Linked DNA regions of Stegostoma tigrinum. The protein of the gene in region 1 purifies or fractionates together with the protein of each later gene. This does not show direct contact. Links are inferred from orthologs where the notes say so. Each region holds a gene or a part of one and is shown on either strand. Other genes may lie near its edges.

Region 1 (6,969 bases):
ACTGACTGAGTGGAGTCTGTACATTCACCCCGGGTCTGTGTGGATTTCCTCTGGTCACTCCAGTTTCCTCCCAAAGTCGAAAGATGTGCAGGTTAGAGGGATTGGCCATTGTAATTTGCCCTGTAGTGTCTAGGACTGCGCAGGCTAGGTGAGTTAGACATGGTAAATACAGGGTTACAGGGATAGGGTGGAAGTTGGGTCTGAGTGGAATGCTCTTCAGAGGGTCAGCACAGAGTCAATGGGGTGAATGGCTGCTTTATGTACCGTTGAGATTCTATGATATAGACATCAGTTAATAAAGCTGAAACTGGGCTTTATTAATTAGTGAGAGACAAAGCAACTGCAGATGATGGCATCCAAGGTAGACAAACGGGAAGCCAGAAGAACACATCAAGCCAGGCAGTATCTGGAGGAAAGGAGAAGTCAACATTTCAGGCATTAGCCCTTTTCAGGGCTGAAGAAAGATAATGCCCAAAACGTTGACTTCTCCTTTCCTCCAGATGCTGCTTGCTTGCTTGGCTTGCTTTGTTCTTCCAGCTTTCTGTTTGTCTACCTGTATTAAATGGCACTTGGAGTACAAGAACAAAGAGGTTAAGCTGAACCTATCCAAGATAGTTACAAAGTCATAGCTGTACAGCGCAGAAACAGACCATTCGGTCCAACTCTTCCATGCCGATCAGATATTGTAAACTGATCTAATCCCATTTACCAGTATTTGGCCCACATCCCTCTAAACCCTTCCTATTCATGCACCCATCCAGATGTAATTATACCTCGCTCCACCACCTCCTCCGGCAGGTAGCTCCATACATGCACTACCCTCTGAGAAAAAGTTGCCCTTAGGTCCCTTTTGAGTCTTTCTCCTCTCACCTTAAACCTGTGCCCTCTTGTTTTGGACTCCCCCAACCTGAGAAAAAGATCTTAGCTATTCACTCTATCTGCGCCCCTCATGATTTCATACACTTCTAAGGTCAGCTTCTGACACTACAGGAAAAACAAAGCCCCAGCTTTTTAAGCCTCCAACGTTGCCAATATCCTTGTAAATCTTTTCTGAACTCAAGTTTAACATCTTTCTTAAAGCAGGGAGATCAAAACTGAACCAGAATGTGGAGTAATCAGATCAATCACGATCCAAATCAAGAGTACAGCAGGCTTGAGGGTTAAGACATTTAAATTGTTTAACCTATCCTCAAACTCTAACTTAAAATGTGTGAACCCTTGAATTTAGAGGCGAAAGAATCAGAATGGTATTGTTATTTTTATTTAAATTGTGTTAAGTACAATTTTCTTCCATTCTTCACAAGATGAGGATGATGCTTGCTAGCCCACCAATTATTGTCCATCTCTAATTGCCCAGAGGGCAGTTAAGTGTCAACCACATTGCTGTGGACCTGGAGTCACACACAGGCCAGACCAGGTAAGGTTGGCAGCTTCCTTCCCTAAAAGGGCAACAGTGAACCACATAGGTTTTTCCTGACAATTGGCGATGGATTTGTAGTCATCACTTAACATTTAATTCCAGATTTTCACTGAATTAATATTCTACCATCTGCTGTAGCAGGATTCAAATCTGAGTCCTCAGAACAATATCTGGATCTTTGGATTAACAGGCCAACAATAATACCACTACGCTGTTGCCTCCCCTAGAATAATATTCTAGTTACATTTTAAGAACCTACAAAACACTTGTGTCTTCTCCAATCACAGTGCTTGAACAATTAAACACTGAATTGACAAGTGTATTCTGACTTTAAAAATCTTTATGGTCAAAGCAAGGCTGTCAAAAGGAAGTAATTCTACCATTCTCATAATAATATATTTCAAAAAAGGTCTCTTTGGCCCAATAAAGTTACATCCCTGGTGACAAGATTTAGGATGAGGTAATCCAATACCATAAATTAGTTATAAAAACTGACATGAGGCAGACAAAGTATGTGTTTATGTGTCTCTAGCTGCAAGAAAGTACAAGAGCTGATGAAGGGTCTAGGTCGGAAACATCAGCTTGTGTGCTCCTAAGATGCTGCTTGGCCTGCTGTGTTCCATCGTTCTGGAGTTGCCCCCATGATTTCCAACATTTGCCCAGGAGGCAGAGTAACAGGCTGACTAGACTAGCTCCTGAAAATGAGAAGATTGGTGGAGAGAAGATATTGAGTAGAGTAGGTCTACATTTCCTGTATTTTAGTAGAATGCGAGATGAGCAAAGTCAAACATCACATTTTGTAATATTTTCTAACAGAATTCATAGATAAATGCTGAGAAAACATTTCCTTAACTGAGAATTCTAGAACACAGGTCTCACAGCCTCAAATAAGGAGTCAAGCATTTAGACTAGCATTCGAACTGAATGACAGGGCTGATTGAGAATCGGAGAAGTTTATGCTTCACACCAGAGGCTCAATTGCGGAGCATATTCAAAACATAATGGAAGGATTCTTGGGTACTAAGGAAATCAAGAGATACGGGGATGATGTTGATTAGCCAGAAATTATGTTGAATGGTTCTGCTGAATGAAGGAATACGCATGAAAAGGCCACTAAACACAACTCTCATTTCTCAGATAACACGGTGTAGAGCTAGATGAACACAGCAGGCCAAGCAGCATCAGAGGAGTTGGAAAGCTGATGTTTCGGGTCGAGACACTTCTTCATATTTCTACTGAAGGAGCTAAGTAAATGCAAGCTGTTGTTTTAAAAGAAACGAAATAGGAGATAATGTTTTGCTATTATTATACAAACAGATAGGCAATATTTTAAAATCTAAATACAAAATTATTAAACGAACAACACAAGATTCCAGGTCTCAGTGCCGGGCCTCATCAACTTTACCGAAACAACTGATTGGTCAAACCCCACATTAACTCCACATCTGCTTACATTTCGTTTTATACTCAGAATAATGTAAGTGGCTTACTTTAAAATCGTTTCCACTTAAATCTACACCTCTAATGAAAGGCAACACCCCGGTGGCAGCCATGTTAACAGTGACAGTTGATCACGGACACCTCAGCCAAAAACCTTGCCTACCTTTCTCCACACCTCATTGGTTCACCGTCGCACTTAGCCGGGCCAAGCGCTGGGGTTCTGGATAATGATTGGTCCAATGTTATGTCAATAAGAGTACGGCCACAAAAGGTTGAGGCCCGATTTCCGCCCGGAATCGAAACGTCTGTAACTCCCCGCCCCTTCACCAGTCACGTGTGCGGGACATGGGTAGTTTCATTGGCTGCTTCAGATGTCAGTTACAGTCTGGGGGCGAGTCGTATCTATTCCAGGAAGAAATGAAATAATGGGGTGAGGAAGGAATAAGTGGCGCAGATCTCGAGTGACTTACCGGCTGCTAGTCTTTCGGGAAGCCGTAATATAGGCCTACCTCTCTTATCCAATCCATAGCAGCCTTGGCAGCCAGGGTTGTTGAATGATTGACAGCAACTGGTACCGGGTTTGCTGATCAATCCTGGCGAAAGCATGTTTGAAGTTGAATTGTAGTATTAATCTATAGGATTAGTTGTTCCAGTTATAATATCGGTTGTTGTTATTTACATGTTACCGCGAATGTACAACGATTAATTCGGAAATTAATACTAACTTTTGGTACACGTTTATTAAGGAAATTGTAAAATGTCAATTCAATTTGCAGATTGTATTTTTTTTCCCAAGTAACGTATATCAGTCTCTCAACTGAATTCAGGTTTCTTTTGCGCACGGTAATATCTTGTTAGTAGATCAGAGATAATGGGAACTGCAGATGCTGGAGAATCCGACACAACAAAGTGTGAAGCAGGATGCGCACAGCAGGCCAGGCAGCATCAGAAGAGCAGGAAAGCTGATGTTTTGGGTCTGGAACCTTCTTCAGAAATGGGGGAGGGGAAGGGGTCTCAAATAAATAGAGAGAAGGGGAGAGCGATGATGGGAGGTGGATAAAGGAGCAGATAGGTGGAGAGAAGACAGACAGGTCAAGGACGTGGGATGAGACTGGTAGGTAGGAGGTGGAGTGGGGGTTGGCCAGTGAGGTGGGAGAAAAGACGGACAGGTGAAAGAGGTGGGGATGAGCTGGGCTGGTTTTTGGGATGAGGTCATGGGTGGGAAGATTTTGAAGCTTGTGAGGTCCACATTGAAACCATTGCTGCAGGGTTATCAAGTGAAATATGAGGTGCTGTTCCTGCAGTGTTCAGGTGGCATCATTGTGGCACTAGAGGAGGCCCAGGATGGACATGGCATCCAAGGAGTGGGAGGGGGTGTTGAAGTGGTTCATGACTGGAAGGTGCAGTTGTTTGTCACAAACTGAGCGTATTTTGAGTTTCTACTTTTTCCTTGTTCAGTGGCTGCCCGTTGAGGCATCATTAGCCAACTGTAATTCACTCCCCCTATAGTTCACTTGATTATGCTTAGGCAACTGGAAGGGAAGTGAGAAGGGAACTATTCATGTTTTAATACGTTTTGTTTGTAATGCTTTCCTGAATTTTTCTTCACCTGAGTGCTTCTTCAAAATGACCAATATTGTTCAGGGAGAAGGAAACTGAAGAGACAGTGAGTTTGAAGATGTCATCAACTTCCTGCTGACAAATGCCCAGCTGGAGTTCGGGGAGCTGCTGTACTTGCTATTGCAGTGATGCTGCTGAAAGGCTGAGTTGGCCCATCTGCCATTTCTTGGTCAAGCTTCAACAATGTTATACTGTGACCATGTTGAGCCTGCATGCAGTTTACCACCTGGATATTCAATGTGCAACAGCGGTGACGTGATGTTTGAAAGAGGTGGATTGGCTGCTGATTACTGGACAGCATAGATTGCATGGGTTCAGTGTCAACCGCATTGTTGTAACATGGACTGTAGAACTGCACCGTGTGCTCTTTTTGAACTCTGGAACTCCAAATCATTCAGGGTTTCTGTTACTAGCTGCTCGTCAGTGGGATGGGTTAGATTTAGTTCTGTCAAATTATTAACATCTGAGTTTTTACATGGCACAGTTCAAGGAAACTTCTTGAGTTTCTCTGTATGTTTGCAGATGTTTGATAAAGCCAGTGACCCACCAGACAGCTCCCTAGATAAGCCAGTCACACAACCTACAAAAGAATACAACTAGATTGCCACATCCCCAAAACTGCTGAATTTACATTTGAGTGAATCCAAGCACAGAAAGCTGAATATCAAATCCAACCATTAAAAAAAATGTAAGTATCTCTTCCTAAGTTGTGATTTCCTGGGGCAGAAGGGACATGGAGGAAAACAATTTAGGGAATCGAAGTTTCAAACAAAAAACACGTCATAAAATCATTATGGGAAATGAGGAAAACTACCCAAATGAACTGGACAAAAGAGAAAGATGAAGGGACTAGGGAAATGTGGTTCCTACAATACATGCAGGACTCCTTTTGAACCTAATACATAATAAATACACAGAAGATTTGTTGATCCAGCACAGGTAAATGAAGTAAAGGTACAGCTGTGCTTTTCAAACTCTTTTTGTGATCGAGTGCAAGAGTGGAGTGACGGAGTTGAGAGCTGGTGGTTGTTAGAGCAGGAGCGCAGCTGTTGTAACTTGGTCAGAGCTCCAAGGTAGTCATTTCTGGGAAGTTCAAAAGTAAAGACACTTTTGGCAGTATTGACCATGAGGACATAGGAATATCATAAGCAAAGAAGAGATTGGACACATGGAAGCCAGGAAACTTAGGAAATAAATAGTGATGTCTTAAAAAGAGTCCACATTACAGAAGAGAAGGTGCTGGAAATCTTAAAACGCATAATGATTGATAAATCCTGGGAACTGATCAAGTGTATCACAGGACACTGTGGGAAACTAAGGATGAAATTGCAGGGCTCCTAGAAGAGATATTTGTATCATCTACAGAAAGGGGTGAGGTGCTGGAAGGCTGGGGAGTTGCTAAAGTTGTACCTTTTATTTATGAAAGGCTGCAAGGAAAAACCAGGGAACTATAAACTGGTGAACCTGACATTGGTGACAGATAAGTTATTGGAGGGGAGTCTGAGAGATGGGATTTGCATGAATTTGTAAAGGCAAGGACTCATTCTCATGAGGGATTAAAACTGAAAGAACTGCAGGTTCAAATCAGGAACAAAACAGAAGTTTCTGGAAAAGCTCAGCGGGTCTGGCAGCTTCTGAAGAAAATTCACAGTTAACATTTCGGGCTCCATGAGCCTTCCCTTCTGAGGAAGTGTTACTGGACTCAAAATGTTAACTGTGATTTTTCTTCACTGATAAGGGATAGTCAGCATGCTTTGTGTGGGAACTCATGTCTCACGGACTTGAATATGTTTTTTTTTGAAGATAGATGAAGGCAGAGTGGTAGACGTCATCTACATGGACTTTAGCAAGGCCTTCAACAAGGTGCCATGTGGCAAATTGGTTAGGAAAGTTTGATCACATGGGATCCAGGGAGAGATTGCCAACTGGATACAAAACTGGCCTGACGGTAGGAGACAGGGTGGTAGTAGAGGGTTGTTGTTCTGACTGGAGGCCTGTGACGAGCAATGTGCAACAAAAATCAGTGCTGGGTCCGCTTTTGTTTGTCATTTACAAAAATGGTTTAGATGAAAATATGGGAGGCATGGTTAGTAAGTTTGTGGATGACACCAAAATTGACACCAAAATAATGGACAGTGAAGAAGGTTTCCTAAGAGTACAATGAGATCTTGGCCTGCTGGGCCAATGAGCGGAGGAATGGCAGATGGAGTTTAATTTCGATAAATGTTCCATTTTGGTACGACAAACTAGGACAGGACTTGCATAGTTAAAGGTTGGACTCTGGGGAGTGTTGTTGAATAGAGAAACCTGGGGGTTCAGATACATAGTTCCTTGAAAATGGTGTCACAGGTAGACAGGGTGGTGAAGCTGGCATTTGGCATTCTTGCCCTCATTGGTCAGGGCATTGGGGACCGCGATTGCGGCATCATATTGTGGCTCTATATGGCGTTGGTGAGGCTACCTTTGAAATACTGTGCACAGTTCTAGTT
Region 2 (7,604 bases), on another chromosome or scaffold:
AGTACCACTTAAAGATGTAAGATTGCAGCAGCATTCTTTTCCAATACTGAAACAGAACTTGCATAAAAACTGTAGTTCAACTCATACAAAGTATGTCACAAGCCTTGGCTTGTCGCATTGTGTACCCTAGAGGGGATGTGAATTTAAACTATAAACTGAAGATAAAAGGTGAGAACATCCCACCACGATGAATAATCACAACAGCTGATAATAATGGAAACATTCAAAATTAAATTTCAACCAACCTCTCTGGCAATGTGGCTCAGGGCCTCATCTTCAGCAGAGAATCTGTCTTTAATAGGCGTTCGTTTCCTTCCAGATCCAGGTGTCCCCATTTTCTCCAAACAATTAAAATCTTCTACAAGTCCAAACCAATAAGATCGAATACCATTTGGAGGGGAACTCCTTCCACCAGTTGTACTACAAGACAAAATTAGATTCTTACCAAAATTGTTCTCCTCCAAAGAATAATTACATGTCACAAATTAATAGAACATAGGCCCTAATTTCAAAGGTTGGGGCATAAGATCAGGGAAGTACGCAGTGCTGCTGAGACTATTTTTGGAGTACTGAGAACAGATCTGGTGCCCTTAAGGTAGGGTTTCATTTCATTGAAGGCAGTTCAGAGAGAACGTTAACAGGGTTAGGGGAAGGGAATCACATCACTTGGGAAGTATTAAATTCTAACAGGACAAGACAAGCGAGATGCAGGAAGGATGTTCCAGATGGTGGGTGGAGTCAAGAACCAGGGTTCATGGTTTAAGAATGAGAAGTATGGTTTTTAGTTTTGAAATGAGAGGTTTCTTCGCCCAGAGTGTCACCCCTGTGCAATTCACAACCACAGAAAGTGGTCAAGGCCAAAATATTGTGTTAAGGAAGGAGGTAGATACAGCTTGTGTGACTAAAGAGATCAAGGAATATGGGGGAAGAAGCAATTAGAGTACTGAGATTGATGATCATACTGAATAGTACAGCAGACTCAAGGGGTCAAGTGGTCTACTCCTGCTCCTAATTTCTATATTTGTTATTACAATGATCTCAATAAAGCAGCTGTCTTATGAAGAACAGCCAAACAAGTTGGTACCGTATTCACTGGAGTTAAGAATGAGGGGTGATCTCAGGTGAAATATTTACGATTCTGAAGTGAGTCGACAAGGAAAATGCTGAGGGGATGTTCCTCCTCACTGGAGAATGTAGGTACAGAGGGCACAGTCTCAGGATTGAGGGGTGCCAATTTACGACAGAAGAAATTCCTCCTTATCCCAATGGGAAGTGAGTCTTTGGAACTCCTAGCTACAAAGGGTAGAGTCCTTTGTATTTAAGGATCAGATTCTTGATTTGGAGGGGAATTGGAGTTACGGACAAAATGCAAGAAAGTGGACGTGAGTAAAGTCAGAACAGCCGTGATCCTATAGAATGACAGAACAGACAGAAGGGGACAAATTGGCCTACTCTTATTTCTAATACTTATGATCTTCAGGGGACAAGAATATCGTTTGACAAATTATGCTGCAAATCCTAATGCTGCAATTTCCCATGACTTTCACTGGTTAATGTCATTTAACAGAAATTAACATAACTTGATCTCAAACCAGACTGTAATGTCTCAATACTTATACTTCAACTTTTTTGCTTCAACACTAAAGTTGCAAACTATTAAAATAATTAGTGTTCTGACATTCATTTTGGACAAAGAAATGAATACAAAATAAGTTGTGAATAATGTGAAGACTGTAAAGCTATCTGTGATGTAAAAAACAATTAGCCCAGTAACTAGGAGAAGGTCAACTCCTTTTTTCATAGTCATACAGCTAACAGGTGCAAAGCATCATGACATTTCAGCACATAATACTGCAGTGTCAATGTGCCAACATCAAACTGCTGTCTAGACGTTTAAAAAAGTTTCAAATTGGAGTCTTCTTGTTAACCATTGTGCAGTTTTATCTATATATTAAATCTAGAAGAATATACAGAGGTGCTTGACAGAAGCCAGAAGAAAACAGAGTTCAAACCAAAAAGAGATTAAGAAGGATGATCCAAAGCTTGGTCAAAGGGTGGATTTAATAAAAGGGAACAGTATTCGAGATACAAAAAGGGATTTAACATCTATGCAACTTAATACATAGCTACAGATGCCAGAAAAGGGTAGATGCACAAAAGCCAAAAGGAGTCAAGAGGAAACAACTACAGCTAGGAAAATCAATATGCAGAATTCAAACAAAAGTACAATCATGTAAAATAGTCAAGAAGCTACGACAATAAACAAACTCAACAATCACTACCAAGCAGAAGTCGATATGGCAGCAAAATGTCTATCTATACTGCTCTCCTATCACTCCTGTCATCACTGGGTCTTCATAACCTGCAGTGAAGTTTGACAGCAAACTGCTCTGGAATGCAGCATGACTGCCCTCTCATCGCCAAGGTAACCCATTTCACCTCAAGCTAACTCCGCAGGTTCGGAGACATGATTTTTTGAATAAAAGGTAGTAATCCTGGACAGGAGCCAAAAGTTGAGTTTGAATGTAAGCAATGCAAGGGCGGTACAGCGCAGGAAGCGGCCCGGCCCCGGGCTGACACCAGCAGCGCGGCTCAGACCTGCTCTCTCCAACAGTGACAATAGGCCAGGCTAAGACCAAGTCAAGCTCGGGGCGACAGGCCAGGAAAAGGGGCTTGAAAAGCCCTCGAGGTCGGCAAAGGAGATTAAGGCCTATCCGCCGATCTTGCCGGGGGAACGGAACGGAGGTGCGGTGCTGGTGATCAGTCGGCCCCGAGGTTGTCTTACCAAGCGGCTCGGCCACTCCTTCGGTCAGTCCTGGACAATCAACCAGCCATTCGTCTCGTCACCAGCTGAGCCACCCGTTCAAACATCACCAACAAACCCGTTTCTTGATCCGACCACTCGGCTTTAGCTCCGCCTGAAACGAGGATTTTAAAATAAAACTCTAACCCTATCCCAAAATTAAACCACCACCAGCTGGCAACTCCGCCAATTCCTTTGCACGCATGCGTCAACGGCTCCCGCTGGGCATGCGCTTAACCGCGTGCCTCGCGCCAGCATTGGTTGAGGCGGCTCGGTGCGCACGCGCACAGGCTACAAGTTCGGGTTGGTATGCGCTCGGGGGCGACGTTCTGCGCATGTGTGCGCGTTCGGCGAGGCGGGATTGTGAGCGGTTTGGAGAGCCTTTTGAGCGACCGTGGCGAAGATGACAAGCTCAGCGTTTGGTCATTTGTTGTAGGAAGTCAGGGAGGTCCCGAATGAGCACTGTGTCGAGCTGGACGAACACAGCAGGCCAAGCAGCATCTTCGGAGCAGGAAAGCTGACGTTTCGGGCCTAGACCCTTCATCAGGAATGGGGGAGGGGGAGGGGGAGGGGGAATCTGAAATAAATAAGGAGGGGGTGGGGAGGCGGATCGAAGATGGATAGAGGAGATAGGTGGAGAGGAGACAGATAGGGAAAACAGGCAAACATCAGCTTTCTTGCTCCTCTGATGCTGCTTGGCCTGCTGTGTTCATCCAGCTCTACACCTTGGTATCTTGGATTCTCCAGCATCTTCAGCTCCTCTTATCTCTGATACAATTTTAACCCCACTGTGAAGCCTCTTCTAACGATGCCTACCCTGAAGAAGTTACCCTCCTGCCTCCGGACAAACTTCAAGAGATCTCTCTCCCACTGCAACTCTCTCGTAATCTCTTCAGCCTTGAAACTGCTCGCCATCCCCACCTCCTTGACCTGTCTGTCTCCTCTCCACCTATCTTCTTCCTCTATCCATCTCTGATCTGCCTCCCTATTTATTTCAGAACCCCCCCATCCCCTCCCCCATTTCTGAAGAAGGGTCCAGGCCCGAAATGTCAGCCTTCCTGCTCTTCTGATGCTGCTTGGCCAGCTGTGTTCATTCAGCTCCACACCTTGTTATCTCAGATTCTCCAACATCTGCAGTTTCTACTATTCTCAGAGTCCTGAATGAATTTTTTTTCTTGCGATGTGCTGAGGAAGGCACTGCAGTTGATATCAAACAAAAACAAGTAGCTGGAAAAGCTCAGCAGGTCTCCCAATATTAGGGAAAAGACTGAAAACTGGAAGGGCCTGACAACTGGGAAAACAGCACCATGTGGGACAGTCCTGAGGACTGAAAAATAGTGCTGGATGGGAGAGACCCAAGAGCCGGAAAACATCCAAAGGGAAAGGTGCAAGACCTCAAAAACCAAGACGAAAGGGGAGTCCTGCCGCAGCTTGCAAAAAGCGCAAGGCATAATAGGACTAGAGCTGGAAAACAGCATGAGATGGAAGGGTCAGAGAGCTGATTTGTTTTTTAGAATTTCATATATTATTGTCATGTCTAGCTAGGGACCATGAGATGTTTTGTTTCTTGTGCAGTACTGGCAGATCATACCAGCCAAAGTGCAGAGGGTAAGAGAACACAGCATGGAATACAATGTTACGGTTGCAGAGAAGATGTACAAATAGCGAGGTCGACATTAAATTTGGAGAGGTCCATTCCAAAGTCAGGGAAGAAGCTGTTCTCGAATCTGTTTCGTACATGCATTTAAGCTTTTGCCTTTTCTGCTTAATGGAAGTGGTTGGAAGAGATTATAACCAGGGTGAGAGGGATCGTTGATTATGTTGGCTGCCTTACTGGGGCAATGAGAAGTATAGATGGAGTCACTGGATGGAAGGTTGGCTTGTGTGAATTACTGGGCTATGTTCACGACACTCTGTAGTTTCTCACAATCCTGGCCAAAGCAGTTGCCGTACCAAGCTGTGATGCATCAAGATAGAATGCTTTCTATGGAGCATTTATTAAAATTGGTAAGAGTCTTTTGGACATGCCAAATTTCCTTAGCCTCCTGAGGAAATACATGTGCTGTAGTGCTTTCTTGACCACTGCATCAATTTTGGTTATCATCACTCCTAGGAATTTGATGCTCTTAACCATCTCCACCTCAGATCCATTGATGCAGACAGGGGCGTGCCCTCAACCTTTCTTCCGGAAGTCAATGACCAGCTCTTTCATTTTACTGACGTTTGAGGGTGAGATTGTTATCTTCACACCACACCACCAAACACTCTACCTCTTTCGTTTATTCTGTCTTGTCATTGAGATCCAGATTATCATGGTGGTGTTATTAACAAACTTGTTGCCAGAGTTTGATTTGACAACACAATCATGAGTATACATGGAGGGCCTTGCACAACGCTGGTGTTGAGATTGTCATGGAGGAGGTGCTCTTGCCTATTCTCATTGACTGCAGTCTGTGGGTCAGAAAGTCAAGGATCCAGTTGCAGAGCGCGGATTAAAAACCTAGGTCTTGGAGTTTGACGATTAGTTGGAATTATAGTATTAAAGGCAGTGCTGGAGTCAATGAGTGGAAGACTGATGTAGGTATCCTTTTATTCCAGGGATGACTGTAAGGACAGGGAGATGGTGTCTGATATGAACCTGTTGCAACGGTAAGTGAGTTGCCAGGGATCAGGGGAGGCTGGAGTTGACATGAGCCATGACTGACCTTTCAAAGCACTTCATAATTGTGGAGGTCAGAGCCACTGGGTGGTAGTCATTGAGGCAAGCTGCATGAAGTTTTTCTGGTACCGGCCTGATGGTGGTCTTCTTGAAGCAGGTGGGGACTACAGATTGTAGAAAGGAGAAGTTAAAAATGTCAGCGACTACTCCTGCCAGCTGGTACATGCATAATCTGAGTGCATGGTGGGGGACTCCATATCGGCCAGTCGTTTTCTGTGGTTCACTCATAAAGGTCTGACATCTGCAATGGTGAATGATGGAACAGATACATTGGAGGCTGTCTCATGGTTTTATGGAGGTCACATCTGGATTTCCTGTAAACATTAGGGTCATCTGACTTGAATGCCACAAACCTGGACTTTAGTTGGCAATGGATCTCCGCTTCATCCATGCTTTCTGATTGGGGACTATTCGGTTTGAGTATTTTGTCACACATCCTTCCACACAAGTGCTAATGAATTATTTAATGGTAATAGCATACTCATCTAGATTGGCCGCTGAATTCTTGAAAATGGACCAGTCCACCGATTCAAAGCACTCCCATAGAAGCTCCAACAGTACCTCGGAATAACACTGCTACTTTCTGTACAATGTCCTCATGTTTCAAATTCTGCTTGTAAGCTGTGACGGGCAACACTGCGTTGTGATCTGATTTTCGGAATGTAGATGGGGTATGCAGCAGTAGGCATCTCTGACAGGTGTGTAGCAATGGTCAAGGATGTTCAGCCCTTGATGGGGCAGGAAGCATGTTGATAGTATTTTGGTAGCATACTGTTGAGGTTGGCCTGGTTGATGTTGCTGTCTATAATGAGTGCCTAGAGGCATTCCACCTCAATTCCATTTGTAGCAGTGTATAGCGTAGGGTGTTATGGAGACTGCTATCAGGATAGTGGAGGTGAACTCGCGTGATAGGTAGTATTGATGGCACTTCAAAGATAGATAATCTAGCTGGATATACCACAAGAAGGAAGAGATCTGAGACCTGAAAAACACAGCAAGGAGAGTGATGACTGCTTGAAAACATGTTGAGTATTGAGGTCTGTGTGCTATGATGCATTTCAAGAGGGGAGGAGATCTGAGCCCGGGAAAACAGATTGAGGTGAGAGCTTGAAAACAGCACAAGCATTTGGAAGTATATGTTCTGTGATGTAGGGTGAGTTGGGAAGGAAATTAAGAGATTGAAAATTGTCCAAGCATAAAGACATATGGGAAATGAAGAACCGCGTGATGTGAAGGCTCAAAAACAAGGGTGTGCAGTATGGGGTTTAAGAGATCAAAAATAGCACGAGAGGGAGAGCTCTGAGTAGTTCAAAAGCACTGTGTGATGTGGTGGTCTGTGAGCTGGAAAATAGTGAGAGTGGGTAGTAGTTCAAGACGTAGAATGCAGCATGACAGTGGTGAGGTTCAAAAGCACAAGTGGGAACAGATCTGAGAACTCAAAACCAGCACATGTGCAGACTGGTTTGAGAGCTGGAAAACAGCACAAGAGACTGGTCCCACAGCCACAAAACAGCACCAGAGGGAGCACACTGAGGGCTGAAAAGTTAGCTATAATGGGTTTGACCAGTGAGCCAGAAAACATCAAAATAAAGGCCAGATTTGAGAACATAAAACTCGAAGAAATGGCCCGAGAGCCAGAAATTAACAGCTGATAGGAGAGGCCCGTAGCCAGAGAGTAGAGTCAGATTGGAGACGTGGAAGGCACCCACAGGTGTGCAAGAGGTCATATGGCAAACATTTGGAAATCAGTGTGGATTGGAGAGACCTGAGGGTGTATAAATAGAATCAGAGATAATGGGAACTGCAGATGCTGGAGAATTCCAAGATAATAAAATGTGAGGCTGGATGAACACAGCAGGCCAAGCAGCATCTCAGGTGCTCCTGAGATGCTGCTTGGCCTGCTGTGTTCATCCAGCCTCACATTTTATTATCTCGGTGTCTAAATAGAGCTGGACTGTGACGTTAGATACCATTGGGCCAAGAACCAAAAGACAGCAGCATTTGGGAGAGGGCTGAGGGCCCGAATACAGAGCCAGAGTGAAGGGTAATGAGAGAAGAGATGAAAACTGGGCAAAATGGAAG

What was found.
Region 2: the proteins of flii (region 1) and lrrfip2 purify together in Homo sapiens (affinity purification with mass spectrometry; 3 studies listed by BioGRID and IntAct, with this or other methods). This does not show direct contact. The link is inferred for Stegostoma tigrinum from reciprocal best matches to the Homo sapiens genes FLII and LRRFIP2.

The regions. Positions count from the first base shown.
Region 1 is NC_081376.1:25,218,565-25,225,533, reverse strand, and holds the start of flii (protein flightless-1 homolog), read right to left. Parts: upstream 3,024-6,969; 5' UTR 2,974-3,023; coding exon 2,911-2,973; intron 1-2,910. UniProt on the Homo sapiens protein: Is a regulator of actin polymerization, required for proper myofibril organization and regulation of the length of sarcomeric thin filaments. It also plays a role in the assembly of cardiomyocyte cell adhesion complexes.
Region 2 is NC_081358.1:6,313,461-6,321,064, reverse strand, and holds the start of lrrfip2 (leucine-rich repeat flightless-interacting protein 2), read right to left. Parts: upstream 3,019-7,604; 5' UTR 2,786-3,018; intron 421-2,785; 5' UTR 336-420; coding exon 246-335; intron 1-245. UniProt on the Homo sapiens protein: May function as activator of the canonical Wnt signaling pathway, in association with DVL3, upstream of CTNNB1/beta-catenin.